7 linked regions of the Macaca mulatta genome follow. The protein of the gene in region 1 interacts with the protein of each later gene in a biochemical or structural test. Links are inferred from orthologs where the notes say so. Each region holds a gene or a part of one and is shown in the gene's direction. Other genes may lie near its edges. The genes, in order: EIF2AK2, TARBP2, CDC42, EIF2A, PRKRA, DNAJC3 and DHX9.

The links.
Region 2: the proteins of EIF2AK2 (region 1) and TARBP2 form a complex in vitro, tested with the Homo sapiens proteins (2 studies listed by BioGRID, with this or other methods). The link is inferred for Macaca mulatta from reciprocal best matches to the Homo sapiens genes EIF2AK2 and TARBP2.
Region 3: the proteins of EIF2AK2 (region 1) and CDC42 form a complex in vitro, tested with the Homo sapiens proteins (2 studies listed by BioGRID and IntAct). The link is inferred for Macaca mulatta from reciprocal best matches to the Homo sapiens genes EIF2AK2 and CDC42.
Region 4: of the proteins of EIF2AK2 (region 1) and EIF2A, one has a biochemical effect on the other in vitro, tested with the Homo sapiens proteins (4 studies listed by BioGRID, with this or other methods). The link is inferred for Macaca mulatta from reciprocal best matches to the Homo sapiens genes EIF2AK2 and EIF2A.
Region 5: the proteins of EIF2AK2 (region 1) and PRKRA form a complex in vitro, tested with the Homo sapiens proteins (3 studies listed by BioGRID and IntAct, with this or other methods). The link is inferred for Macaca mulatta from reciprocal best matches to the Homo sapiens genes EIF2AK2 and PRKRA.
Region 6: the proteins of EIF2AK2 (region 1) and DNAJC3 form a complex in vitro, tested with the Homo sapiens proteins (2 studies listed by BioGRID). The link is inferred for Macaca mulatta from reciprocal best matches to the Homo sapiens genes EIF2AK2 and DNAJC3.
Region 7: the proteins of EIF2AK2 (region 1) and DHX9 form a complex in vitro, tested with the Homo sapiens proteins (2 studies listed by BioGRID, with this or other methods). The link is inferred for Macaca mulatta from reciprocal best matches to the Homo sapiens genes EIF2AK2 and DHX9.

Annotation. Positions count from the first base shown.
Region 1 is NC_133418.1:87,794,655-87,798,154, forward strand, and holds part of EIF2AK2 (interferon-induced, double-stranded RNA-activated protein kinase), read left to right. Parts: intron 1-127; 5' UTR 128-140; coding exon 141-259; intron 260-604; coding exon 605-725; intron 726-3,500.
Region 2 is NC_133416.1:60,654,483-60,658,694, forward strand, and holds the start of TARBP2 (RISC-loading complex subunit TARBP2), read left to right. Parts: upstream 1-1,412; 5' UTR 1,413-3,364; coding exon 3,365-3,417; intron 3,418-3,528; exon of another isoform or gene 3,529-3,664; intron 3,665-3,969; coding exon 3,970-4,139; intron 4,140-4,212. UniProt on the Homo sapiens protein: Required for formation of the RNA induced silencing complex (RISC). Component of the RISC loading complex (RLC), also known as the micro-RNA (miRNA) loading complex (miRLC), which is composed of DICER1, AGO2 and TARBP2.
Region 3 is NC_133406.1:218,932,870-218,937,161, reverse strand, and holds the start of CDC42 (cell division control protein 42 homolog), read left to right. Parts: upstream 1-1,492; 5' UTR 1,493-1,530; coding exon 1,531-1,635; intron 1,636-4,292. UniProt on the Homo sapiens protein: Plasma membrane-associated small GTPase which cycles between an active GTP-bound and an inactive GDP-bound state. In active state binds to a variety of effector proteins to regulate cellular responses. Involved in epithelial cell polarization processes.
Region 4 is NC_133407.1:53,591,207-53,594,706, forward strand, and holds part of EIF2A (eukaryotic translation initiation factor 2A), read left to right. Parts: intron 1-1,467; coding exon 1,468-1,541; intron 1,542-1,673; coding exon 1,674-1,818; intron 1,819-1,949; coding exon 1,950-2,066; intron 2,067-3,500. UniProt on the Homo sapiens protein: Functions in the early steps of protein synthesis of a small number of specific mRNAs. Acts by directing the binding of methionyl-tRNAi to 40S ribosomal subunits.
Region 5 is NC_133417.1:83,391,672-83,395,171, reverse strand, and holds part of PRKRA (interferon-inducible double-stranded RNA-dependent protein kinase activator A), read left to right. Parts: exon of another isoform or gene 1-327; intron 328-1,185; coding exon 1,186-1,264; intron 1,265-2,273; coding exon 2,274-2,391; intron 2,392-3,500. UniProt on the Homo sapiens protein: Activates EIF2AK2/PKR in the absence of double-stranded RNA (dsRNA), leading to phosphorylation of EIF2S1/EFI2-alpha and inhibition of translation and induction of apoptosis.
Region 6 is NC_133422.1:90,497,350-90,500,849, forward strand, and holds part of DNAJC3 (dnaJ homolog subfamily C member 3), read left to right. Parts: intron 1-415; coding exon 416-521; intron 522-605; coding exon 606-726; intron 727-3,500. UniProt on the Homo sapiens protein: Involved in the unfolded protein response (UPR) during endoplasmic reticulum (ER) stress.
Region 7 is NC_133406.1:40,339,667-40,343,166, forward strand, and holds part of DHX9 (ATP-dependent RNA helicase A), read left to right. Parts: intron 1-817; coding exon 818-1,031; intron 1,032-1,214; coding exon 1,215-1,309; intron 1,310-1,578; coding exon 1,579-1,652; intron 1,653-2,786; coding exon 2,787-2,939; intron 2,940-3,500. UniProt on the Homo sapiens protein: Multifunctional ATP-dependent nucleic acid helicase that unwinds DNA and RNA in a 3' to 5' direction and that plays important roles in many processes, such as DNA replication, transcriptional activation, post-transcriptional RNA regulation, mRNA translation and RNA-mediated gene silencing.

The DNA of each region.
Region 1 (3,500 bases):
TGTGGGACTGAGATGAGTCCTATAAAGGAGAGTCTCCCCAACCCCTCTGTCTCCTAAACTGCACTGGGAAACTCAGGTTAAATATGTTCTGTTAGCATCACTCATTCAAATGTCTCTTCCATTGTAGGATACTGGAAGAAATGGCTGGTCATCTTGTACCAGGTTTCTACATGGAGGAACTTAATAAATACCGTCAGAAGCAGGGAATATCATTGAGCTATCAAGAACTGCCTAATACAGGACCTCCACATGATAGGAGGTAAGTTGCTATAAACAATGATATGATCTTATAAATGTAAACTGGGGGAATGGCAACTCTGGCACAACTTTGAGGTCAACACTTTTGTTTTGTGAGAGTCCGCTTGGCGTAAAGCGGTAACCACTTTGGAGCCACAGATGATTCCAGAGAGAAGAGAGGGTAGAAACCTTTCCACACTTCAACAAGACATGCTGTTTTACTGCTTGGGGTGACTGCTTCCATTCTATGTTGAATGTACGTTCAAACCCTCAAAGGTAGTCATAGGAGGTAGTGGTAACTAGAGCACTTGTTTTTAGATAGTGCATGAGTTGTATAATATTTTATGAATATTCTTTTTGTAATCAGGTTTACATTTCAAGTTGTAACAGATAGAAGAACATTTCCAGAAGCTGAAGGTAGATCAAAGAAGGAAGCAAAAAATGCTGCAGCCAAATTAGCTGTTGATATACTTAATAAGGAAAGCGAGGTGAGTGATTGCCTTTTTTTCCTAGTAAATGGGAACTTGCAAATGCATTTTCTATTTCTCTCTGTGAGAAAATACTTCCATACAGAGTAAAGCCATTCACACGTTACCTTACATTCAAGAGTTTGGTTCAGTCATTCCCCCCATCTTCATTTCTATGAAACCCTGAGTGAGAGCTGCACACCCAGGACGCCGTGGGCAAAGCTGGAGAATAGTTATTCAGAGTGTCAGCAGCAGTTAAATACTCTAAAATTGAACAAATATGGAAAGATGAGAAGTGTTCAGTGGGAAATGAGCTGACAGGTTCTGGGATGAGTCCCCTCCATCTAATTGAGGAAGTGCAGTAAAAGAGGAAAAAGAGATGAAAGTGATTATAGGGAGAATGATGTACAGCGGTCACTCACTGTCTGCGGGGAATTGGTACCAGGACTCCCTGTGGATGCCAAAATCCACTGATGCTCAAGTCTTTTATATAAAATGGCATAGTATTTGCATATAACCTATTTGCATCTTCCCATATACAGTTATGCGTTGCTTAACAAGGAGAATACATTGTAAGAAATGCATTCTTAGGCAATTTTCTCATTGGGCAAACAACACAGAAGTACTTACACAATCCTAAATGGAGCAACCACTACGCACCTAGGCTATGTAGTATAGCCTATTACTCCTAGACTACACACCTGTACAGCATGTTATTATACTGAAAACTGTAGCCAATCGTAACACAATTTAGTATTCATGTATCTAAACATATCTAAATATAGAAAAAGTACAGTAAAAATACAGTATAAAAGACAAAAGGCTGGGCGCGGTGGCTCACACCTGTCATCCTAGCATTTTGGGAGGCTGAGGCAGGTGGATCACCTGAGGTCAGGAGTTGAAAACCAGCCTGGCCAACATGGTGAAACCCTATCTCTACTAAAAATACAAAAAATTAGCTGGGCGTGGTGGCGGGCACCTGTAATCCCAGCTACTTGGGAGGCTGAGGCAGGAGAATTGCTTGAACCCGGGAAACAGAGGTTGCAGCGAGCCTGAGGTCGTGCCATTGCACTCCAGCCTGGGGACCCTGTCTCAAAAAGAAAAAAAAAAAGACAAAAGTACACCCATATAGGGCACATACCATGCATAAATAGAGCTTGCAGGACTGGAAGTTGCTCTGAGTGAGTCAGTGAGTGGGTGGTGAGTGAATGTGAAGGCCTAGGGCATTATTGTATACCACTGTAGACTTTATAAACACTGTATACATAAGCTACATTCATTTTATTAAAAATTTTTTTCTTCAATAATAAATTAACCTTAGCTTACGGTAACTCTTTTACTTTATAAACTTCTTATTTTTAACATTTTGACTCTTTCCTAATAACACTTAGCTTAAAACACAAACGCAGCCAGGCGCAGTGGCTCATGCCTGTAATCCCAGCACTTTGGGAAGCCGAGGCGGGTAGATCACCTGAGGTCAGGAGTTTGAGACCAGCCTGGCCAACACGGTGAAACCCTGTCTCTACTAAAAATACGAAAATTAGCCAGGTGTAGTGGGGGTCGCCTGTAATCCCAGCTACTTGGGAGGCTGAAGCAGGAGAATTGCTTGAACTCAGGAGGCGGAGGTTGCAGTGAGCCGAGATCATGCCACTGCATTCCAGCCTGGGCAACAGGGCAAGACTCCATCTCAAAAAAACAAAACAAAACAAAAACGAAAACAAAAACACATAGTATGGCTGTACAAAAATATTTTGTTTTGTTACATCTTTATTCTATAAGCTTTTTTCTATTTTTAGAATTTTAAACTTCTTTTTTTTTTTAACTTTTAAACTTTGTTGTTAAAAAATTAAAACATGATTGGGCACAGTGTTTCATGCCTGGGATGTCGAGGAGCCATGATTATGCCACTGTACTCCAGCCTGGGTGACAGAATGAGACCCTGTCTCAAAAAAAAAAAAAAAAAATGCTGGGCATGGTGGTTCATGCCTGTAATCCCAGCACTTTGGTAGTCAAGGTAGGTGGATCACTTGAATTTGGGAGTTTGGGATTAGCCTAGGCAACATGGTGAAACCCTCTCTGTACTAAAAATACAAAACACTAGCCAGGCTTGGTGGCACGTGCCTGTTGTTCCAGCTACTCAGGAAGCCGAGGCAGGAGGATCATGTGCCTGACATGTCATGGCTGCAGTGAGCTGTGATCTTGTGACAACACTCCAGCCTGGGCAACAGAGCAAGACCCTGTCTCAAAAAAAAAGAAAGAAAAAAATTACAACACACACACACACACCAGCCTGCCTACACAGCATCAGGATCATCAGCGTCACTGTCTTCCACCTCCACATTTTGTCCCTCTGGAAAGTGTTCAGGAGCAAAAACATACATGGAGCTATTCTTTCCTATTGTAGCAATTCCTTCTTTTGGATTACCTACCGAAGGACCTGCCTGAGACTGTTTTACAGTTTACTTTTTTTTTTTTTTTAAGTAGAAAGAGTGCCTTCTAAAATAATGATTAAAAAGTATAATAAATATAAACCAGTAACAGTTACTTATTATTATCCAGTATTATGTACTGTACATAATTGTATGTGCCAGACTTTTTTATAAGACTGTAGCACAGTAGATTTGTTTAGAGCAGTGTCACTGCAAACATGTGAGTAATGCATGGTGCTGTAACCCAGGAGTTTGAGATTGGCCTGGGCAATATGGCGAAACCCTGTCTGTACTAAAAATACAAAAAATTAGCCATTATAGTGGCTATGACCTCACTAGATGACAGTAATTTTTTAGCTCCATTATA
Region 2 (4,212 bases), on another chromosome or scaffold:
TCAGCTATAAGAAAGCCTAGGAAATCCTGAGCCACATCTAACTTCTTGCCTCCTCTGTCTGTAACTGGGATGGGTATTTAGCTGGTGGTCTACATGTTGAGAGCTGGGGTTTTCCCAACATTACCCCAGTTGACAATGGGAGTGAGTGGATGAATGGTATGCTTGAGGGGACACACATGTTTTTTTCACCCGTGTGAGATAGGAGGGAGTGGGGCCCTAAAGCTCAGAGAAACTTCAGTGTCTGGACAGGAAGGCTCAGGGGGCACTTGAGTCCTTTCCTTCCTAAATCCTTTCTGTTAGCCTTGGCTTGGTATGACCCTCTGGCTGAAACTCAGAGCTCCTAGAGCAATGGAGTCCACCTTGAGAACTGCAAGGGAAATGTGTTTAGAGGGATGCACTGACTGTGGCTTGAGACGACTCTGGGTGGGGTAAGGAGACCTCATGTGCACTCCCTCCTGATTGGAGGCCACTCACCTATGCTCCTCTGAAAAAGGCAGCAGATGAGCATCTACAAGGTAGGACTCCTCCCTTAATTCTAAGGGACACCTCACTGTTTCCTCCCACTGTCTACAGAGCCTTGACTCTTCCCTCCTCTCAGTCAAGGCCTTGGTTACCAGCAAGTCTCAACTCTTGCTTATTTTTAAGCCAATGAGTTTGAGGAGTGTTTGTGGGAAAGGGAGGAGGTTTTTGGAGGGTTTGACTGGGGGAGACGGGTTAGGGGAGCCAGAGGAGATGGAGAGAAAGAGGAGGGAGAAACCCACACGTGAATGGGGGAGGGGAGGATGCAACAGCTGGATGGAGGTGAATGCCACAGCTGGAGGGGATTAGGAGGATCACAGCTGGAAGGGGAGGGGACCAACGCCTGGGCATCTAGGAACAGGTGCTCTCTGACTAATCTTCAGGTCCAGCCTGCTAAGTGTGTGTGTGTGTGTGTGTGTGTGTGTCTGTGTGTGTGTGGAGGGAGATGTGGGTACATCAGTCCTTGCCCTTCCTTTCCTTCCCTGGAGGGGGCCAAAACTCTCCCTCCTCCTTCCCTCTCTCCCTTCCTGAGGATGAGTGGGAGGAGATGTTCTCTTGCCCTCTGTCCTTTAAGTCTGTCCCCCAATCACCCTCCACCCCACCCCAATACGGTCCTTTCCAGCTCTGGAGGCCCTTCGTCTCCAAGCTGGGCCGCGGCATCTCTCCGCTCCATTCCCTTCCTTCCCAGCCCCACACGCGTCGGGTCCAGGTCCCCAGTTCCTCCATCCCCACAGCTTCAGCATCCCCACACCACCACCCGCACCAGGCCACATCTGCATCCCGACCCTCCCTCCACGCCCGGATCCCAGGACCCGGACCCATCCCTGCCCCCCACCCCCCCACAACTCGGCCAGGCTCTCACCTCGGGGGCTCCGCGGCCGCAGCACAAAAGGCGGCGCTGCTGCAGCTCCGCTCCGGATGCTGCTCCCGCCTCCTCCTCCTTCTCCTCCTCCTTCCCTCCTCCCCCCGCTGCCCTCCACCGGACCCGGGGCGCTGTCACAGGCGATGCTCGTGCGGTGTCCGGATGCACGGGTGTCAGCTTCAGCTTGCTGCCCCCACCCCCCGACCCCTAGCCCCGTCCCTGCTCGGCTTGAACTCCCGCTCCTTCCAGGGCCCCCGCCCCTGGCCCCCCGGGACGGACACGCCCTGAGCGGGGGATGCTGCGATGGAGCCGCCGGCCTCTTAAAGGAGCCCGCTGCTGCCATCCGGCGCGCTCCACTCTCGTCCCTGGCCCGCCTGGGCCCCGCGCTTCCCTGCTGGCGGTGTCCTATGGAGGTCCCACCTCAGGCCTTAGGCTGATTCCACAGGAACCCCCTATGACTCGTCTTATAGACTCCTTTCTACATCGGAGAGAGCAGCCCCTCAGTTGGGATCCCTAGCGCTCTGGCATTGCTCCCCCTATCATACTGATCTTGCCAGCTCTCCTTCCCTTGATTGTCACCGCTCACTCTAATTTCACCCACTTGGAATTCACTCGACTCTAGGCCCCATCCTCCTCCAGTGTTCCTGGATGACCCCTCATTATCATTTAAAGATTCCTCTGGACCTCCAGCCCCGCCTCAGAGTAAGACATCTCTTTCTTGACCCCTTCTCAGAACACTCATTAGAACCTTTATTTATTTATTTATTTTTAAAAAATGTGATATCTCCCTTTCTCCAAGGTCACAAGATTTCCCTTAGCCCAGTGGTTGTGCGACTTTGGGGGAGGAGGCAATGGGGCTCTAGGACTAAAAAATTTGCGTCTGCTCAACACCCAGATCAGTTGATTAGTCTTAGGCGGCCAAAATTCACTCTTGCTTTCTTCAGCTGAGAGACCCAAGACTCATGGCAGAGGGAACGAGACCACCAGGTGCCTAGTCCTTCTAATCCTGTCGCCCCACACCACAGCCTGATTATCAGGCCCCAGAGATTTCCTTGCCAGTTAGAGAGGTTCACTAGAGCCGTTCTAAAAAGGTTTTACAAAAGAAGCAAAACCTGAAGGAGGTGAAGGACAACCTAGGAAGAGGAAGCAAGTTCTGTGTCACGGAGGCCCAAGGGCCAGGGGCTTAGGCTGTGGGTTGAGGGGACTGTCTGAGACTGACTTGGATCTGCACCAGCTCCAGAGCCCTGCGTAGACAGACATCGGTCCCCTCCGGCGTCTAGGTAAAGCCCACCCTCTCAGACCTCAAAGAGCCCGGATCCGACAGCAACCTCTCCGGACCAATCACAACCTTCCTTCACCAAGGAGGCGGGGTCAGGGGGCTGACTTTTCCTTGTCCCCGCCCCTTTGGTCGAAGTAACCAATTCCAATGTGCCTAGAGGAAGTAAACGCAATGGGAGTAACCAATGACAACATGAAGCTTCTCGTGCGTGCTTGACCCTGCCCCTCCAGCTGCGGCAAAGATGGCGCGCGGGCTCCTGGGTTCTGTAGTTTTCTCGGGATCCAAAAGGCTCCGTGCCCAAGTGAGTCCTTACCGCCCCGCTACCCAGCGGCTTCCCCTCCGCTAGTACGCATGTCCACAGCCTCACGGCCCGGGAGAGAGGGGGCGCGGAAGGAAGGAGGCGGGACGGTATTACAAACAAAAAAATACAGCCTTCTCGAGAAGCGACTGCGGAGAGCCCGCTCCTCCCAGAAGGCGGTGCAGCCGGCCCGGGCGAGCCACGCGGAGGGTTGTGGGGCGGATAGCTCCCCTCCAGATGGAGGCTCATGAAGTAGGGTGGGCGGGGGACTCCATATCCCAGCGTGCCCCTCGGCGGGCCCTACCGGCCGCGACTCCGGGCTTGGCCCCGGCCCTAGCTCGTCGGCGGTGTATTGGGGCGCGTGGAGGCTGCAGTCACGGTGGCGCCCGCGGGGACGGAGGAGGGAATGAGTGAAGAGGAGCAAGGCTCCGGCATTACCACGGGCTGCGGGCTGCCTAGGTGAGCCGCCTCGTACCGATTCCTTCTGGGCAAAAAGCGTGGGGCCGTGCGGAGGGAGTAGCGGCGCGGCCCCAGCATGCACCTGGCCTGAGGGTTGTTCCCGGCAAGCACTGGGGCAGTGGGCAGTGGTTCCCGGCGTGCACCGGGGCAGTGGCTGCTGCCTTCAGCTCTAAATAGTTTGGGGTTGGCCCGGTTCCCAGACTGCACTGGAACACTGGGCTTTATGCCCCCACATTCAGTGCATTTGGTGGGTACTGGGTTCCTGGCTTGCACTGTGTCAGGGGGTATGCACTTTCAACCTGCATGGGGCACAGGATCGTGCCCACCTTAACTGAGGCAGGAGCAGTGCATTCTTCCCCCCTTGCTTTGAGGTAGTGGGCCCTACTCTTCCAGCCTGCACCTACACTTGGAACCCAGCCAATGGATGCTAGACTGCCTGGGGTTCCTTGGACCCTATGTCCCCCATAATGTGCCTAGGTCTGGTATGGAAGTGCTTGGCCAGGTGGGTGCAGAGAGGGGAGGTGTGATATGGGTCTGTGCCCCTTCCCCCAGTATAGAGCAAATGCTGGCCGCCAACCCAGGCAAGACCCCGATCAGCCTTCTGCAGGAGTATGGGACCAGAATAGGGAAGACGCCTGTGTACGACCTTCTCAAAGCCGAGGGCCAAGCCCACCAGCCTAATTTCACCTTCCGGGTCACCGTTGGCGACACCAGCTGCACTGGTGAGGAAGGCTTGGGCAGCCTGGCTGGGGTGTGCATTTGCAGGTCCCCATGACTTTGTTTCTTGGAGTCTCT
Region 3 (4,292 bases), on another chromosome or scaffold:
AAGACCAGCCTGGGTAACAGTGAGACCCCATCTCTTAAAAAAACCCAAACCAAAACCAATACAAAACAAAAACCCAGCCAGGCATGGTGGCATGTGTCTGTGGTTCCAGCTACTTGGGAGGCCAAGGTGGGAGGATTGCTTGAGTCTGGGAGGTGGAGGTTGCAGTGAGCTGAGGTTGTGCCACTGCACTCCAGCTTAGGGTATGGGAGTAAAACCCTGTTTAAAAAAAGAAAAATATACTGCAGATAATTTTGATGAGGAACGGGAGAGTGTGTATTTCCTGTAGGTTACTCACACTAGTGTAATTTCGTGTTCTTGATTTTTGCATCCTTTCAACAACTCGCAGTGTGCCAGTCTAGAAGTGCTCAGTGCTAGAAGTATAGTGGTGCTTGAGGTACTATAGGTTCATTTACAGGGATGTTAATAGGCGTTTATAAATTGTTATGATTAATTGTTGTGAATGGTGCTATAGGAGCATGGTGGCATCTGACCAAGAGTTAGGTGGTTCTGTATTTTTATGTTTAATTAAACCCTTTTAGGATTATAATTTAAATTAATTTACATATAAATAAATCTTAAAATTTAGGTATATATTGGGTGGTATTTCTTTTTATTCTTTCAGAAAACTGTTAAAGTATTTCATTGAATCTAAGATTCCAATTTCATAGAAGTCAAAATGTGGGGGAAAAATGGCTGATAATGATTGTAAGAGACTCAATAAAGATACATTCTGACTTTAGAGATGTTTAAATGAAAAAAAGTTTCTCAAATTAATGACTCTTTGGTACTTGTAATTGATAACTTCTTAAAATTGAGGAGAACTCGAATAAGAGAAGCTGTAGTATCTGTTTATAAGTCAGTATGCTTTAGAGCAGTCTGACTTTTCATTATAAAAATGTAGGTTTTGGACTAGGCATTCTGGTGCTAAAACAGCTGCTGAGGCCAGCGATCACCCTGTTCTTTGTTCAGTTCCTCACGTTACTCATATAATTCGTGTGAGGCTCTACTGCTTGTTGGTCAGAGCCTGAGTAAGGCTGAGTAAGGCTGGATAATGAACCATTCTTTAAAGCGGTGGCCTTTGTATTGCAGTCTAGTTCACATACATGCATACATACAGGTGTGTGTGCACGTGTAACCGAAGAAAAGCTTTCACAAAATAATATTTAGTACAGTATGTGGAATTTTCTCTGATACAGTCTCTTCTTTTTCATTATAAAAATAAATTTGCTGTTTATCACACCAGTTGGGACCTTCTGAAATAACACTTAAGAAGTTGAAACAGCCAGGGATCAGAAACTTAGAAATGAACCTTATTTGTTATTGTAACTTATAGCAAGTCATTGTTTCTCTTATTGGGTTCTTTTAGCCATAATAATTGTGCTAGTTCTTTTCTTGCTCTGAGTGCCTTAACCTGTTGCTAAGTGAGGAAAAAAAAATACATATATAAGCATAAACAAACATGTCTTTAATCTTTTTGCAGGTCAACATCAGATTTGAAATATTTAAAGTGGATACAAAACTATTTCAGCAATGCAGACAATTAAGTGTGTTGTTGTGGGCGATGGTGCTGTTGGTAAAACATGTCTCCTGATATCCTACACAACAAACAAATTTCCATCGGAATATGTACCAACTGTAAGTATAAAGGCTTCTTTCTGTTAGTAAAATGTAAAATTTGATACCCTTTTGAAAATTCTTTCTCTGTGTGTACTGAATTTTTTTCTGTTTTCTGCCTTTGTTTCCTGTTTTTAAAGATCTTGACTTCTCATGGGTAAATTATATACACTTTAAAATTAAACAGCTGAAAAATCAGTGGAAAGTCAGAAGGGGTGACACAAGGGTTTACAAGAAGTGCTGGGAGGCAAAACTCCAGTAGACAAGATTCTAACGAGTGGTGATCTCAATTTGGTGAAGTATGCCCTACATCTTGGAATGAGGTGACTTTTTTTTTTGGATATTTTGGCCAGTTATTGAACAGTACTTGGAGGTCTCCTGGGATACCATTTGGGGTCCTGTAACTTGAGAGAAAGTTGTATGTGTCTCCACTTTTCTTGTGGAACTATTCTCTTAGCAGTAATGGAGCTCCAAACTGGTTGTTAGGGGCAGAGAAGAGAAGACCTGTTATGTTATGAGAATACCAACAGAAACCTTTGGGGGTCACCCCCCACAACCTTTTTTTTTTTTTTTTTGGAGACGGAGTCTCTATCGCCCCTTCTATCTGGAGTGCAGTAGTGCGATCTCGGCTTGCTGCACCCTCCGCTTCCTGGGTTCAGGCAATTCTCCTGCCTCAGCCTTCTGAGTAGCTGGGATTACAGGTGCCCGCCACCACGCCCAGCTAATTTTTGTATTTTTAGTAGAAACAGGGTTTCACCATGTTGGCCAGGCTGGTCTCGAACTCCTGACCTCAAATGATCCACCCGCCTCGACCTCCCAGAGTGCTGGGATTACAGGCGTGAACCACCATGCCCGACCCCACAGCTGTTTTTTAAATCAGCTCTTTGGAATGGGAGAAGGAAGGTGGGAATAACAAAGATATTGAAGTGAGAGAGAGAGAGACAAGAGTTAGAGTAACACTCATTTGTGAAAGGTAGTGAGACGCTGTCTCAAAAATAAGTAAAGTTGTTTATTTTGAAGGGGGGAGAATTTGAAGGTATTATTAAACACTAAAATCACATTGATATTTTGAATTGGCCCATTTGGAGACAAGATAAATGGAAGATGTTGTGAGGTTCAGTGGACTTACAGGGGACGTTTAGAGGTATATGAATCTTGTTTCAGAGTGAGGACAGCTATCAGAGTTTTTCTGTTTTAGTTTCCATTGAAGTTGTTTAACTTGTAAACATAATTTCTGAGTCTTTTATGACTTTGATCTTCTGGTGTTGTATTTTAAGTGGGCTTGTGGGTTTTTTATATGTATGTTTGTGTGTACATCTCTGGAAAAGTGATAGGGTGGAAGGAAGAGTAGTAGAATAAAATTTTAAATGAGCCGATTTAGGTAAATGAATGGACCATGAGGCACAAATAATGTTCTCATGGTACCTGTTGAAGTTAGTATGGAAATGGATTTGGTGTAAAATGCATTTTAGTTCCCATCTATAAATTGGAGCTTGCCGTTTCTAGAGTAATAGAAATTCAGAGTTGAATGGGACAATACATACTGTCTTATCCATCGCTTATGGATGAGAGTACTCAGGCCCAATTTAGGGATGAGACTTAGAAGTCTGACTTTAATTACTTAGTGTAATTACACTAGGGAAAGTAGACTTTGGAATGGAAGCCAGCTTTTCTGATTCTTAGTCTGGTTTTGGATATGAACAATCCAGTAAAGGAGGGTTGTTTTTGAGTCTCTTAAGTGCGATTTAAGAAAGTTATGTGTTTGGTTTGAGAGCTTAATCACATTCATTCGATTTCTTTGTTCTTGTTTTTAAGAACGAACTTTCCTTTGTCATCTCCCTCAGGCCCTTGCTTCTCTTCTTCTTTACATTTAAATAAGCTCTTGAGCAGTCTGTTAAAACATAAATCAGAAAATCAGAGTAGGTACCCAAAGGTTAAGTAGGGCTGGTCTTAAAATGTGGCATTCTTCTCCTAGTTGGAAAGCTTTGCTTTTCTTTTTATATATATCATTTAATTTTTAAATTTTTATTGTAAATTGACAGATTATAGTTGTATATGAAAGCATTGCTTTTCTATTGTAAATTAATTCTAAAGACTCCAGAATTTGTGTTGGGTCTTTTCCCATTTAGCATTGTTAAACCTCCCATTTTCACACATAACTTAGTACAACCAATATTAGTATATGCTGTACTGAATTTGATAAGGGTTTTATGGTCTATTTACATATTAAGCATCTTGTTACAGAAGATGTCTCACATCATGCAGTTTGTGCCCAATAACATGAATTTTACTCACAAAATTCCCAGCTGGCCAGTCGCAGTGGCTCACACCTGTAATGCCAGGACTTTGGGAGGCTGAGGCAGGCAGATCATGAGGTCAGGAATTTGAGACCAGCCTGGCCAACATAGTGAAACCCCGTCTCTAAAATTTTCTCTAAAAATACAAAAATTAACTGGGTGTGGTGGCATGCACCTGTAGTCCCAGCTACTCAGGAGGCTGAGGTGGAGAATCGCTTGATCCCGGGAGGCAGGTTGCAGTGAGCTGAGACCATGCCATTGCACTCCAGCCTGGGAGACTCTGTCTCAAAAAAAAAAAAAAAAAAAAAAAAATCCCAGCAAATAATCTGTCAGCCTTTTCTTGGACACTTTGAGTACTTTGAGGGAACCGTTATTTCTCTC
Region 4 (3,500 bases), on another chromosome or scaffold:
TAACAATCATAGTTTTTTTAAAATTAAAGTTTTATGCTTATAGTTTTATTTAAATTAAAGACTACAAGGTTTTTATTTAATTTCTTCTATCTTATTTGTATTGCCTTTTGTTACCACCAAGAATCTTGTTTCTCTGGAATACCAGGGATGATAATTTGAGAATATCACATTCACATAAGCGTTCATTTGGTTTGTTCCACATTATCCACAGGGTATTCTTAGAATCTCAATACCGGCCGGGCGCGGTGGCTCAAGCCTGTAATCCCAGCACTTTGGGAGGCCGAGACGGGCGGATCACAAGGTCAGGAGATCGAAACCATCCTGGCTAACACGGCGAAACCCCGTCTCTACTAAAAACACAAAAAATTAGCCGGGCGAGGTGGCGGCGCCTGTGGTCCCAGCTACTCGGGAGGCTGAGGCAGGAGAATGGCGGGAACCCGGGAGGCGGAGCTTGCAGTGAGCTGAGATCTGGCCACTGCACTCCAGCCTGGGCGACAGAGCGAGACTCCGTCTCCAAAAAAAAAAAAAAAAAAAAAAAGAATCTTAATACCAAAAAGTGACACTATTGCTGAAAATAATTTTTTAAAAAGGGTTTGCAGTTATTTTTGTCTTTAGAGCATCCCATTACTGATTGTACAGTTTTGAGTATATTATAGTTAGAATAGGAATTGGTAACTTTGTTCACACATACCAAAGATGGCATGTAGGCTGATTTTGAGCAATATCCAATCAGTATAATTATGCCTTTCATTTTCCTGTGTTTGAGGCGCACTGTCACCTCGCTGTTTCAGGGTTAACTTGCTTTCTTGTCTGATTTGCCTCTTTGTGAGCATGCCAAATGAAGAGGGATCACCACTTTGACAGTTTGGTGCGCTGCGCTTGAAAAGCCATTGATCTCTGAAATCAAACAAAGAAAGTATAGTAGCTCTTGATCTAATTAACTAGGGTAGCAGTTTTATTAATAGCAGCATGGTTTGGACTGCTTTTAATATCAGCCATTGTTACTATGGTTGTGATCATGGTTATCATGCATCTGTTTATCACATTAAGTTATAGAATTTCCATATCCACATTCTGCAGTAGCAGGCCAAGGTTGATCTTTTCCTTCTAATAGGCTCTAAGACCACTTTATTTCAGCGATTGAAGAGAGGATAACTGACATTTATCAAATACCTACCATGTGCCTGGCACTGTTCTCTTAAAACCAATTACTGAGAGTTGGGTGGTATAATCGCATTACTTGCCTGAGCTCACACTGCAAGTAAATGACTGAGTAGAAATTGAAGCCTACATTTGTCTTGCTCCTACCCCATGCTTTTTCCACTGTGTTACTGTGTGTCACCAGCAGGAGACTACAGTGAGTACTATTAGTGTGTAGTTATAGTAATCCTTTATAATGTATTCAGAGTTTAACATGTTCCTTTTAGCCTCTCTCATCAATCTGATTTAATTTACTCTTTTTTTTAGACACAATTGCAAATAAATTGCATTTGCAAAAAATTAATGATTTTGTATTATCACCTGGACCCCAACCATACAAGGTAATTGCTGTTTTTGTTTAAGTGGAATATTATGTGTTTAAACCTTTTCCTAGTTTTTTGTGACTGTAAAAACATGTCCATCTCAGTTTTTATTCTCAAAAAATTAAGTAATGATTTATGTGTGTATCTTAGGTGGCTGTCTATGTTCCAGGAAGTAAAGGTGCACCTTCATTTGTTAGATTATATCAGTACCCCAACTTTGCTGGACCTCATGCAGCTTTAGCTAATAAAAGTTTCTTTAAGGCAGATAAAGTTACAATGCTGTGGAATAAAAAAGGTATGCTAAGTATATTTTATCCCTCTTGTTTACCAGTTGTTAATTTAGGCTATATTCCTGTGCATATAACAGAAGAATCAATGCCCATGTAATTTGTGTTTTAAATCTAATTAAAGTTTTTACTGTTATAGCTACTGCTGTGTTGGTAATAGCTAGCACAGATGTTGACAAGACAGGAGCTTCCTACTATGGAGAGCAAACTCTGCACTATATTGCAACAAATGGCGAAAGTGCTGTAGTGCAATTACGTGAGTATTCCAGCAGTCTTCCTTTGATTAGAAACAATGGTAGTAAAAAATACTATGCCATAAAGATGATATAATCTAAATTCTTGATCAAAAGATAGAATTCAAATACCTTAATAACCTTTAAGATAAAATTCTTCTTTTTTTTTTTTTTTTTTTTTTTTTGAGACGGAGTCTTGCTGTGTCTCCCAGGCTGGAGTGCAGTGGCGTGATCTCGGCTCACTGCAAGCTCCGCCTCCCGGATTCACGCCATTCTCCCGCCTCAGCCTCCCAAGTAGCTGAGACTACAGGCGCCCGCCACCACGCCCGGCTAGTTTTTTGTATTTTTAGTAGAGACGGGGTTTCACCATGTTAGCCAGGATAGTCTCGATCTCCTGACCTCGTGATCCACCCGCCTCGGCCTCCCAAAGTGCTGGGATTACAGGCTTGAGCCACCGCGCCCGGCCAAGATAAAATTCTTCTTAATTAAGAAACTTAAAATCATCCTCAAACATACCTTATTTTGGCAGAATACAATTAGTTATTTGAGTTATGCCAGCGTTTTAGAAGTAAACTTCCTGAGTGAGGTAATTCCGTTGTAGTAGCTCTTTTGGAGCTTACTTAGCTAATTATGACAGCAAATTGCTTAATACTATCTTTAGAATTGTTAGTAATATCCAAGAGGCCAGGCATGGTGGCTCATGCCTATAATTCCAACACATTTTGGGAGGCTGAGATGGGAAGATCATTTGAGCCCAGGAGTTCAAGACCAGCCTGATCAACATAGTGAGACCCCGCCTCTACAAAAAATAGAAAAACTTAGCCAGGCATGGTGGCATATGGCTGTAGTCCCAGCTCCTCAGGAGACTGAGGCAGGAGGATCACTTGAGCCCAGAAGTTCAAGGCTGCAGTGAGCTATGATCATGTCACTGTACTTAAGCCTGGGTGAAAGCCCGTCTCAAAATAATAATATCCAAGAATGTTACCACTTCATCTGTTGTTTTAATGAACTAAAACTTTAAAATAATAGTTTTAAAATACTGACAGCTTCCTAATTTTCTCGTTTTGAATTGAACTTATGTAAGTAGGGTAATCTACCTTTTAAAAAACTGTATTTCCATTGAAGTCAAAGAAAAAACAAGGATGGCTCCCCTTTTCACTTTATTTTAATAACATTCTGAAATACCTAGTCACTCTAACTAATCAGCAGAAGTAGAATATATACAGTTTTGAAAGAAAACAAAATCATCTCTGCTCATGTAGTCGAAGTCACACTATAACCAACAGCTACTTTAAAAAAATAAAAGATTCCATATATAGCAAAAAAAAATAACAAATATATAGGGCCAATGGGAAGAAAACTTTAAAACTCTTCAGAGAGACAAACTATGGCCTTTACTAAGAAGAATTATTTTTATAAAGATGTCATTTCTCTGCTATCAATCTAAAACTAAATTT
Region 5 (3,500 bases), on another chromosome or scaffold:
TGTACAGCCTGAAGGTGAACCCAACCAGTAAGTACACTTGTAGAAATGAGGGGTATAGAGTGTCCTTTCTGCACCTGGGCACTTCACTTTGTCAGCAAAAAAAGCTAACAAACTTTACTATATTTGTGCTTCTTGACAGATAAAATGGGAATTACTAAGCTGTAATCAGGCCTAAAGTGGCCTGACTTAATACAGAGACTTTCTCACTTCTCCATCACAATTATTTGGGTAGCTTCGGCATGCAGCATTGTAAGTGAATACTCATATCTCATCAGCCTATGTAAAGCTTGAAGTTCTCGCAGTTGGAGAAAAAGAAAAAAAAAAAACCTTGAGGAAGTGGCAATAACTAAACCTCACTTGTCATGGAAAAATGACTCCAGTTGCCTAGGTGGTAGTAACCTTGAAATGCCGCTTATTCAGTTTTAAGCACTGACCTGCCAAGTAACTAGTAATTCCCAACTCCCTAGAAGAGGTTCTCTTTTTCCCTAATCATAATCCCCACATGCTAAAACCAAATTCATCTAAGCCATCTATTTTATGCAGGATACATGTAAATCTTAGAGGATTATCCCAGCACTGAGCAGATGACAGATCAAACAGATCTCTCTTCATAGTTCTCTGGATGAAAAAAACAATGTTTATAAATAATCTGTATTGTTCACATTGCCAGGTTCAATTTTCTGGATCATTGTTACTCTTCTATTTTTTGCATAGTTGTAACAGAGTATTCTTTAAATATTTTTTTATGACATGCCTATTACGTACAAAACGCCACAAAGCTTATGTAGGTAAGTGATACATAGGCCCTACCTCAAGGAGCTTATAGTCTGAATAGGGGAGAGGTATGGTGAAGGATGGACAAATTATATGTATTTGTAAGAGTATATAATTTATGGTAAAACAATTTCCTCAAGAAAGGATTAAACCGTGTGTTATAATGTTTCAAAGAAGGGAGAGATTATAAACCACTGGGGTAAAAGGATAGGCTTCTTGGAGAAAGTGTCATTTGAGATATATCTTGGATGACAGATCAGATTCCCATAGAAGAGGCCTGAGAAAAGGGCATTCCATGTAGAAGGAATGACAAGAGCAAAGACATAGAGAGTTAATTAGAAAATGCTTGTCATTTATTTCATAATTTGGGGGAAATTATTTTGTTTTATAACACTTTTAAAAAATATTTAGCTTTGCAGTTCCTGATCCCTTAATGCCTGACCCTTCCAAGCAACCAAAGAACCAGCTTAATCCTATTGGTTCATTACAGGTAAGTTGTACAGTTCTTTGCCTACTGATGAAATATATAATAAGTTTGTAATATCAGAGGGGCTAACACAAGGAATTAATATTTTAAAGACAAGATAGTGATATATTTTGTTTTCCAACTTACGATCATTAGATTTATAGAGCTAACTTGAAATTATTCCATATACAGTATTTGCCTTTGGCTTATACAATTCTCATTTAAGATCAATAGGCCCTCAGTGCACATGGGTAGAGTGTTTTATACTTTAAGAATAGTTCTTGCTACTCTTGTGACAAATCTCTTTCTACTTCTGTTGAGACAGAAGACTTTATAAAGAGCCTAAATCAAATCAGTGAACCTAACTCAAGAAAAGGAGTCTGCTTATTTGCTTATTCTACCGAAAAAAGAAAAATTTATATCTACACACACTCACATATGCACACATATTCAGCTTTGAATTTCTATATGCAGAATATCCTTGCAGACTATTCATGTGCTCTGTTAGGCCATTCCCCTCCCCATTATTCAGCCAGTCCTTTGGTCTCTTTTTCCAGCACTATGAGCTTTTCTATAGTTTTCTTCACCTTCTGTCCCCCACCTCATCCAAGTCTGTTGTTTGCTGTCCCTACTCATGTGTTCTTGGCCAGCTGTGGGTTTGGAAGTCTATAGCTAGGAGGGGAGGGACTTTAGGAACTGATGGCAGTGAAACCTGTAGATGGTCTCCTCTGGTGTTCCCAAAGAGGGCGGTAGTAGCCTGTTTTTCTAGTTGAAGTCTCATACCAGCTCACTATGGTTTAATTCAAGAACACCATTCATAGCAGAAAACTGATTCAGTTTTGGTATTGGGATATAAAGATACAAAATGCAGGAATGTCTCTGAGAAATAGAGGGTCTTCCCTCTTTTATCCGTTGCAGAAAATCACTATTCTTTTCAAACATATACATAGAAATGGGATCAAAATTAAGAAAATACTTATGTGATTGAGCCATTGCATAAAATTACTATTAAAGCCTCATCTTGATTTTATAGGAATTGGCTATTCATCATGGCTGGAGACTTCCTGAATATACCCTTTCCCAGGAGGGAGGACCTGCTCATAAGAGAGAATATACCACAATTTGCAGGCTAGAGTCATTTATGGAAACTGGTACTTATTTCTTACAATTAAAGGCATTTGAAATATTTTCAGATGATGAATGACTATAGAAATTTCTGTCATAATGTTTTCCAGTATTTCTATGCAGAAAAGTTGATACACTCCTCTTTTATAGTCTCTGACTTTCTGAGGCTGAACTTAAGTATAAATATTTGGCTTAAGATACTTAGTCTTAATTTGATATTTTTAAAAATCAGAGATTATTAATAGAAACTATTGGCTTGTACTTTAAACAGTCTTCATTGATAAATTAGTGACTTTAAAAAAACTCATTTTGGAGACAAAGCTATAGCAAATCTCTTGGATTTTATTTAAGAGCTATTCTATCTAGAAAATAGGACTAGAGGAAGATTACCCTTGAAAACGATATGATTAATAAGAGACTAGATGGCAAATAATTGCAGTGAGATAAAAATGAAAATTATCTTTCTTAATTGTAGCAACTCCTATGTTATAAAGGATATAAACTGTAAGAAACACTGTCACTTTAGAAAGTACTAGTGAGAATTCCTGTTAACTTCTCTGGCATGTTTTTGTCATTTTTTAAAGTGGCTTAAAATGGGATTTTACCTTAACTAGATAATAGTTTCAAGTAATAAGAAACTGTGTGCCTTTGGGAGGTAGTGTGGGCTCTTACAGAAAGCACCAGGTCAAAAGCAAGAACCTCAACTTCCATTTTTGATGCAGTCCTTGATTTGCAAAGTTAAGCAAATTAATCTCTCTGGACCTCAGTTTTTTAATCTATAAAACAAAAACATGGAGATAGATATTTGTGGTATCTTTCAACTCCAGCATCCCCTGTGCCTTTCTTATTCCTGTTTAAAGGAATTCCATATAATTGTCAGTTTAGAGAAGATCACAAGCAGGAAATAGACATTGAGAGAGAGGAGTTATAATTCAGATGTATTTTAATAAATATGAATAATTGGTCAGAATTAAATGTGGTTCAGTAATGCTAGACATAGGAAAATACAATTATTATAGAAAAACAGAAAGCATAACTATTAAAAACTTAAAACAAATGCCTTCAAAAGTGTAAGAATTAGTAACTATACAGGCCAGGCACAGTGGCTCACCTATAATCCCAGCCCTTTGGGAGG
Region 6 (3,500 bases), on another chromosome or scaffold:
ACTTAATGGGTTCCGTTATTTTCATGGAAGTGTTTACTGACCAAGAAATAAAACTTGATCTCTGTATTGTTCAATGTGCTCAGTATAAGTCAGACTTCAACAGGGTATTTTACTCAGGTTCGGAATTCTGAGCTTGTTTCTGTAAGGAAATTCTTCTGGTTTGATTGGTACTTACAGGTATGCTTTGTTCTGTCCATCTGCATCTCCTATGGTCAGATGTTTTTATTTCTTAACTCTTAATTATGGAGTGTACCTTCTATGGGACTCTAGATTAATAAGGGAAAAGCCAAATCTGAAGCCGTGGCCTCATCCAGTTGGATTGATTAAGCAACACATGGTGAAGAGGGGAGGAGCCTTTCTACAGCTCTGGAAATCGAATGTCATTGTTTCTTATCATGATTTGCTCATTTCTTAGATACACAGATGCTACCAGCAAATATGAATCTGTCATGAAAACAGAGCCAAGCATTGCTGAGTATACAATTCGTTCAAAGGAGCGGATTTGCCATTGCCTTTCTAAGGTAACAGTTGACTTGTTCCCAGAAATGTGAAAACTCATCATGTGGAATACCAACCATAAATCCCTTTCTCACATTTCCTTTTAGGACGAGAAGCCTGTTGAAGCTATTAGGGTTTGTTCTGAAGTTTTACAGATGGAACCCGACAATGTGAATGCCCTGAAAGACCGAGCAGAGGCCTATTTGATAGAGGAAATGTATGATGAAGGTAAATCTTTAAGGAATTTGATTTGCAGTACCGAAGTGTTGATTAGGAAATTATCACATTTTAAGCTTCCTTTTCCTTAAAACAAGTTTACCGGAGTACCTGGAAATGGTGACGATTTAGAAAAATGGCAGAGAGCTTGAAAATTACTCTTCCATAGTGGAACCTGAAAGGTATACCATGGGAGGAAAGAGTTCTGCCATTGAAACCAGTTCAGTACAATAGAAAAATAAGTATTTTAGCTTTTTTTTGTAGAAAGTTAGGAAAAAAATAAAATAGAAAATTTAAATGTAGTTCTCATGTCATCCAGAGGTAATCACTGTTCATTTTGCATTTATCTTTTCCAGCTTATGTCTATGCACATACATTACTCTATATTTTATGCACATATACATATTCTCTCTCTCTATATATATATACACACACACACACTCGGTGTGTATGAAACATATATACAGAAAGCATACATATATGTCATATATCCCTAATATAAAATGATCCTCTGTGACCCCAAACTGTGTAGTAAAATAGGACAGTTGCTGCCCTGTTTTGTTCAAGCCGAATGAAGTAACAAGATTCCTGCTAGATGTTGTGAGGACCTTGGTTAAAAGCAGTGTCCTGTTTTTGGAAGAAAACTGTGGCGTATATAGTAATATATAGTTTTTGAAAAATAGAATCCATATATATATATGGAGATATATATATATATAGTTTTATACTTTTTTTCATGTGACACTAAGTTATGAACATTTAAATGAAACAGTTTTTAAAAAAATAGCGTTATAAGCCCTTATTGCAAATATTTTGTTTCAAATTCAGATAAAGCATTTTAAATCAAAAACTAATTTTCTCTTATAGTTAAATGAAGGGTTTGAATGGTAAAATTTGGTTTGTGATACTCTTTTTAAGGCAAAACTGGTCAATCTATTTTTCCCTGCTTTCCTCAATTAGAAAAGAATCTTGCTCCTAAGCAAGTTCCCGGTTTCCAGGGAATGATAACAACCTGGTCACTACTATTCCTGTGACATCTTGTGGGGGATTCAGACCTTGAGGTCTCTGAATGAGGCTTGAAATGAATGCAGTCAAAATGATGTTTTAATATTCATAAGCATGCTTCAATAAGGCAGGTAGTCCACATAGAAAATCCCTTTAGCACACTCGTTCTCTTTCCTTTTGAGCCACCGTGTCTACTCGCTGAGATGGTTTTACTCTAGGATTTTGCATTCCAGTTAGTTTTTGGAACTCTTTATCAAAGATACTTTTGTCATCTGTATGTAAACCCTTAGCTCTTACTGCGAAATTAGAGAAGCTACAGAAGAATATAAACAGCTTAGCTGTTAAAAAAAAAAAAAAAAAGAAGGCTAAATCTTGTAGAATGCTAAATATAATTTGAAAGATGCTTTTGAAACTTGAATGTTAAACTGACTTGCTTTTTGGGGAAACCTGATGGCTTAATTCTGGAAGAAAAAGATGCTTAGTGCTAATTTGATATAATTGATCTGGTTTCTTTTTTTTTTTTTTTGGAAATGGAGTCTTGGTCTTTTACCCAGGCTGGAGTGCAATGGTGCAATCTTGGCTCACTGCAACCTCCGCCTCCTAATTGCAACCAGTTCTTCTGCCTTAGCCTCCCGAGTAGCTGGGATTACAGGTGTGCACCACCACGCCTGGCTAATTTTTGTACTTCCAGTAGTGATGGGGTTTCACCATATTGGCCAGGCTGTTCCCGAACTCCTGACCTCAAGTGATCTGCCTGCCTTGGCCTCCCAAAGTGCTCGGATCACTTGGCCCTGCCCAGTTGATCTGTCTTTGAAGCCTGTTGTTTCCTTGAAAAAATTCTTTTGTATAGGAATTTATTAAAGAGAGAGAGAGAATGGTTGCCAGCTCTCTAAATTTGCAAAAGAAAGAAAGGAAAAGAGCCTGTATAATTGAAACTGACAAGTATTACCTGACTCGTTTGGATTGGAATCAGGGGTTTAGTAAATGATGTAAATAAATAATAATCTTACTTAACTAAGCTAAATAACAGTATGTCTTCAGTTTACTTGAGTTAGAAATATGCTTTCCATATTCTTCTTCCTGGTTTTACCTTTTTTAAATAAGCAATTAAAAATGATGGCAGGTACATAATAAAGAATGAATAGGTTTAGGTTAGTGAATAATGGAACATGGACGTTTATTAATTTGGGGCTTAGAATTATCAGGAAACATATCGGGATATCACTCAATAGAAAGGAAGTAAAGTAAGACTGTTATTTGAGGATGCCTCTGAGATCTTGAAAAATCAAGGGAAATTCTTTATCTCTGCATGTCTCCGTTTTAATAGCTTTTGAGAGGAAGAAACTGACATTGAAGCAATACGAAAATATTGACAAATTCCTTTGAATATAGGGGTAACACAGGTGTCCTTAGGAAATGATCAGTTATATTTTGCTAGAACTTTAGCTGTGTGAGGGCAGAGACCTGTGGCTGTTATATTAACTGATGCATTCCTGGTGCTTATGCTGGCACTCATGTTTGCTGAATGAATGAAGGTAATTTATTTATTATACAATGAAGTCATAGTGGAGAGTAGGGAATTTAGAATTAGTCCTGCCTTTGAGTCTGGCTTTGTGCAGTTATTCTATTTTTTTTTTTTTTTTTTTTTTTTGAGATGGAGTCTCGCTCTGTAGCCCAGGTTGGAGTGCAGTACCGTGATCTCGGCTCACTGCAACTTCCGCCTTCCGGGTCCCAGTTCAAGCAATTCTCCTGCCTCAGCCTTCCGAGTAGCTGGGATTACA
Region 7 (3,500 bases), on another chromosome or scaffold:
TTTTGCTACTCAAAGTGTTTTCAGTAGGCTGCAGCACCTGGGAAACTGGTAGAAAGGCAGAATCCTGTGCCCCACCCTAGATCTACTGAATCAGAATCTACAGTTTAACAAGATCCCCAAGTGATCTGTATATACAATAAAGTTTCAGAGACAGCAGCTATAGCTTTAGCTACAGGAGACTGGAGATGACAGTATCAGGTGGATGGAGTATTAAATCAGGGAGCGATGAGGGATTTCCTAGGAGAAACAGGAAAGACTTACTTTGTAGTGTTTGAGAGTTGGACAAATGATAGTATAAAAATGAATTATCTGGAAATATAGACTGAGCCAGCCAGCAATACAGAATTTGCTAGAAAACCTAAGATTATATCTTTTTAATCAAAAGATCTGAAGATGTAAATGAACAGCAGATTAGAAAATTTAGCAGGAAAAAAACAATTGTAACAACTTTCTCAACTTGTTTTATCATTGATTCTAATGTAAACTTTTTGGAGAATACCACATTATTTCAGTAATAGTAAAAAAGAAATATACTCGGTAGAAGGCTCCATGAGAGGTTTGAGTCAAATTTAAAAGTTTGTGCTTCAGTTTTAGTCCTATCCTGTGAGAAGTACTAGTTAGTAGAAAAGTTCGGTATATTGATGTAAGCTCTGTGTTTTTGGAAATTAAATTTCTGTATTCTATAGTGTGTGACTAGTCAACTAGAATAAATAATGACATTATAAGTCATTAGAGTCAGTGGAAGAAATCTAGAAGACTTATCTCATAAGCTGTAGTAACTGAGACAGTCCAAAATATGTCTCCCCATTTTTTACAGGCAAATTGCAACTTGATCTGTGGTGATGAATATGGTCCAGAAACAAGGTTGAGCATGTCTCAATTGAACGAAAAGGAAACTCCTTTTGAACTCATCGAAGCTCTACTTAAGTACATTGAAACCCTTAATGTTCCTGGAGCTGTGTTGGTTTTTTTGCCTGGCTGGAATTTGATTTATACTATGCAGAAGCATTTGGAAATGAATCCACATTTTGGTATGAATCTTTGAATTCTCACGTATTTGAGAGTGAAAATGAGTGGTTTTGCTAGTGCCTTAGCCAGTATGTGAAAACAAAATTTTGTGTTGTCTCTACCTTTGAATAAAAGTATGTATAATGGAGAGCTGTTTGAAACCAGCTCCTGTTTTTAGTCCCTGATTGTTCTGTATTGTTATATAGGAAGCCATCGGTATCAGATTCTACCTCTGCATTCTCAGATTCCTCGAGAGGAACAGCGCAAAGTGTTTGATCCAGTACCAGTTGGAGTAACCAAGGTAAATATTAAACATTACAGTGATGGGACTGGAAGTGAGGTAGAGACTAAACAAATGTTACAGGCCTTCAAAGAGCTAACCAAAAACTTGTAACCCATCTAAATTGAGGAAGAAAAAAGGAGTCTTCTCTTTCTGAGCTTAGTAGATGGTTCATTAATCAGTTATTGGGTGATCTTTTTAGGACTTCTGTAATTTTCTTGTCATTTGTTACATAAGGAAATCAGTCCTTTCAAGTATGTAATAAGAATGTAATTTTTCTTTCTTCACAGGTTATTTTGTCCACAAATATTGCTGAAACAAGCATTACCATAAACGATGTTGTTTATGTCATTGACTCCTGCAAGTAAGTTACTGGGAAACCTATTTGCCTGTTCCAGTATTACCAACTGGAAACTTCTTACCAGTTAACAGAATCAAAAACACCTTATTTTTAAACTCCTGTGTTCTCATATCTCCAAAATTATAGTGCATCTATATAGCATTATAGGTAATTGATAATTAAGAGTAGTTACTTGTGTTGATTACTGCAAATCAGTTATGGTAGAAAGTGACAAAGCTTGAAACTGTAACTGATGATTACTTCTCATTGCTCTTGGCTGCTGGTGTTTCGCTAATTTCCCATTGGGTATTTCCATTGATCTCTGACATACTATAGCATGCTATTTGATCAATAAAGATAACCAGTGTTTAGCACATGACAAATATCCTACCTTGAAGGACCCTCCTTTATGGATTAAAGGTCTTCATTTTGGTATGAGATGAACCTGGAAAATATGCCAGGAGGCATTCTGTGTAGATACAGGAATTACATGGTAATTGATCAATTGAAAGGACAAAAACGTTGAAACTTGGTTATATCTGGCCAACTTGTGCCCCATGACTTCTCTGTATAATTCCTTAGTGTGTCCTGACAATGAAAACAATTTGCTGCCAACATCCGTTTTAGGAAATGTTAAATAGCATTCTGTGCCAGTCCCAGTAGTTTAGTGGCAGCTGTCTCTGTATGTAACATTGAAGGAATCTGAGGTTGCCTGGGGGTTCAGAAGGACCACACAGTCATCACTACATATAGATATCCTAAAAGTTACACTAAACTTTGGAATAGAGATGACTTAAATAATTATTTTATTTTGTGTATGTGCCATATTCCATTTAAATGCTTTGCATTTGTTAATTTACTTAACGTTTACAAAAAACAAAAACAAAAAAACTCTTATAAGGTAGGTAATGGCATAGAAAGTTTGGCCAAGGCAGTTCAGCTGGTAAGTGGCAGGTAGATGTTACATTGCGTTTCAGTAGGTTGACAACTAGGAGTGTGCAGTCAAATTGATAATTTTTACTTGTGCCATTGATGTATAGACATCACAAGTAGGCATGACTTTAACTACATAGTGGAAAGGATTCACTACTTAGTGGATATGTAATAGTTATTGATAGTACACATGAGTCTTAGAATTAACCAGTCTTTCCTATGTAGGCAGAAAGTGAAACTCTTCACTGCTCACAACAATATGACCAACTATGCTACAGTATGGGCATCAAAAACAAACCTTGAGCAGCGGAAAGGGCGAGCTGGCCGAGTACGGCCTGGATTCTGCTTTCACCTGTGCAGCCGAGCTCGTTTTGAGAGGTAAGACCAATTCTTGACCTTTAGTAAGGGATTTTTGTTCTGTTCTCTGTAGGGACAGACATGCAGTTATGTAAACCTGCAAATTTAAGCTGATCTAAGTTTTGCCAGCCATGTTGGAATCAGGTGTAAATGTTTCTTAAGAATCTTCATCATGAATCATTTATAGAGAATAAGCCAGAATTAGAAATATGGAGACCTAGATTTTAATATTATTTGTGTCTAATATATTGTATAACACTAAGTGGTTACTCCTTAAGCCTGAGTTTTCCTCATTCTATACAATACTAAGTTACTTAATCTCTCTTGTTTCCTCAGTTGTAAAAAGAATATGGTAAATAATGACTAACCCATAGGATTAGTATAAGAAATTAAATGAGTTAATAATGTAAAATACTTTGAACAGTGTCTGGCACATCATGATCTCCCAATAAGTGTTTGCTATTGTTAATTTATACAGGTCAGATATCTCTTTTAAAACTGAAATACTTGGGACCAGAAGTGGATTTTGATTTATTTGTAATATTTGCATTGTATTTACCAGTTTGGCATCCCTAATCTGAA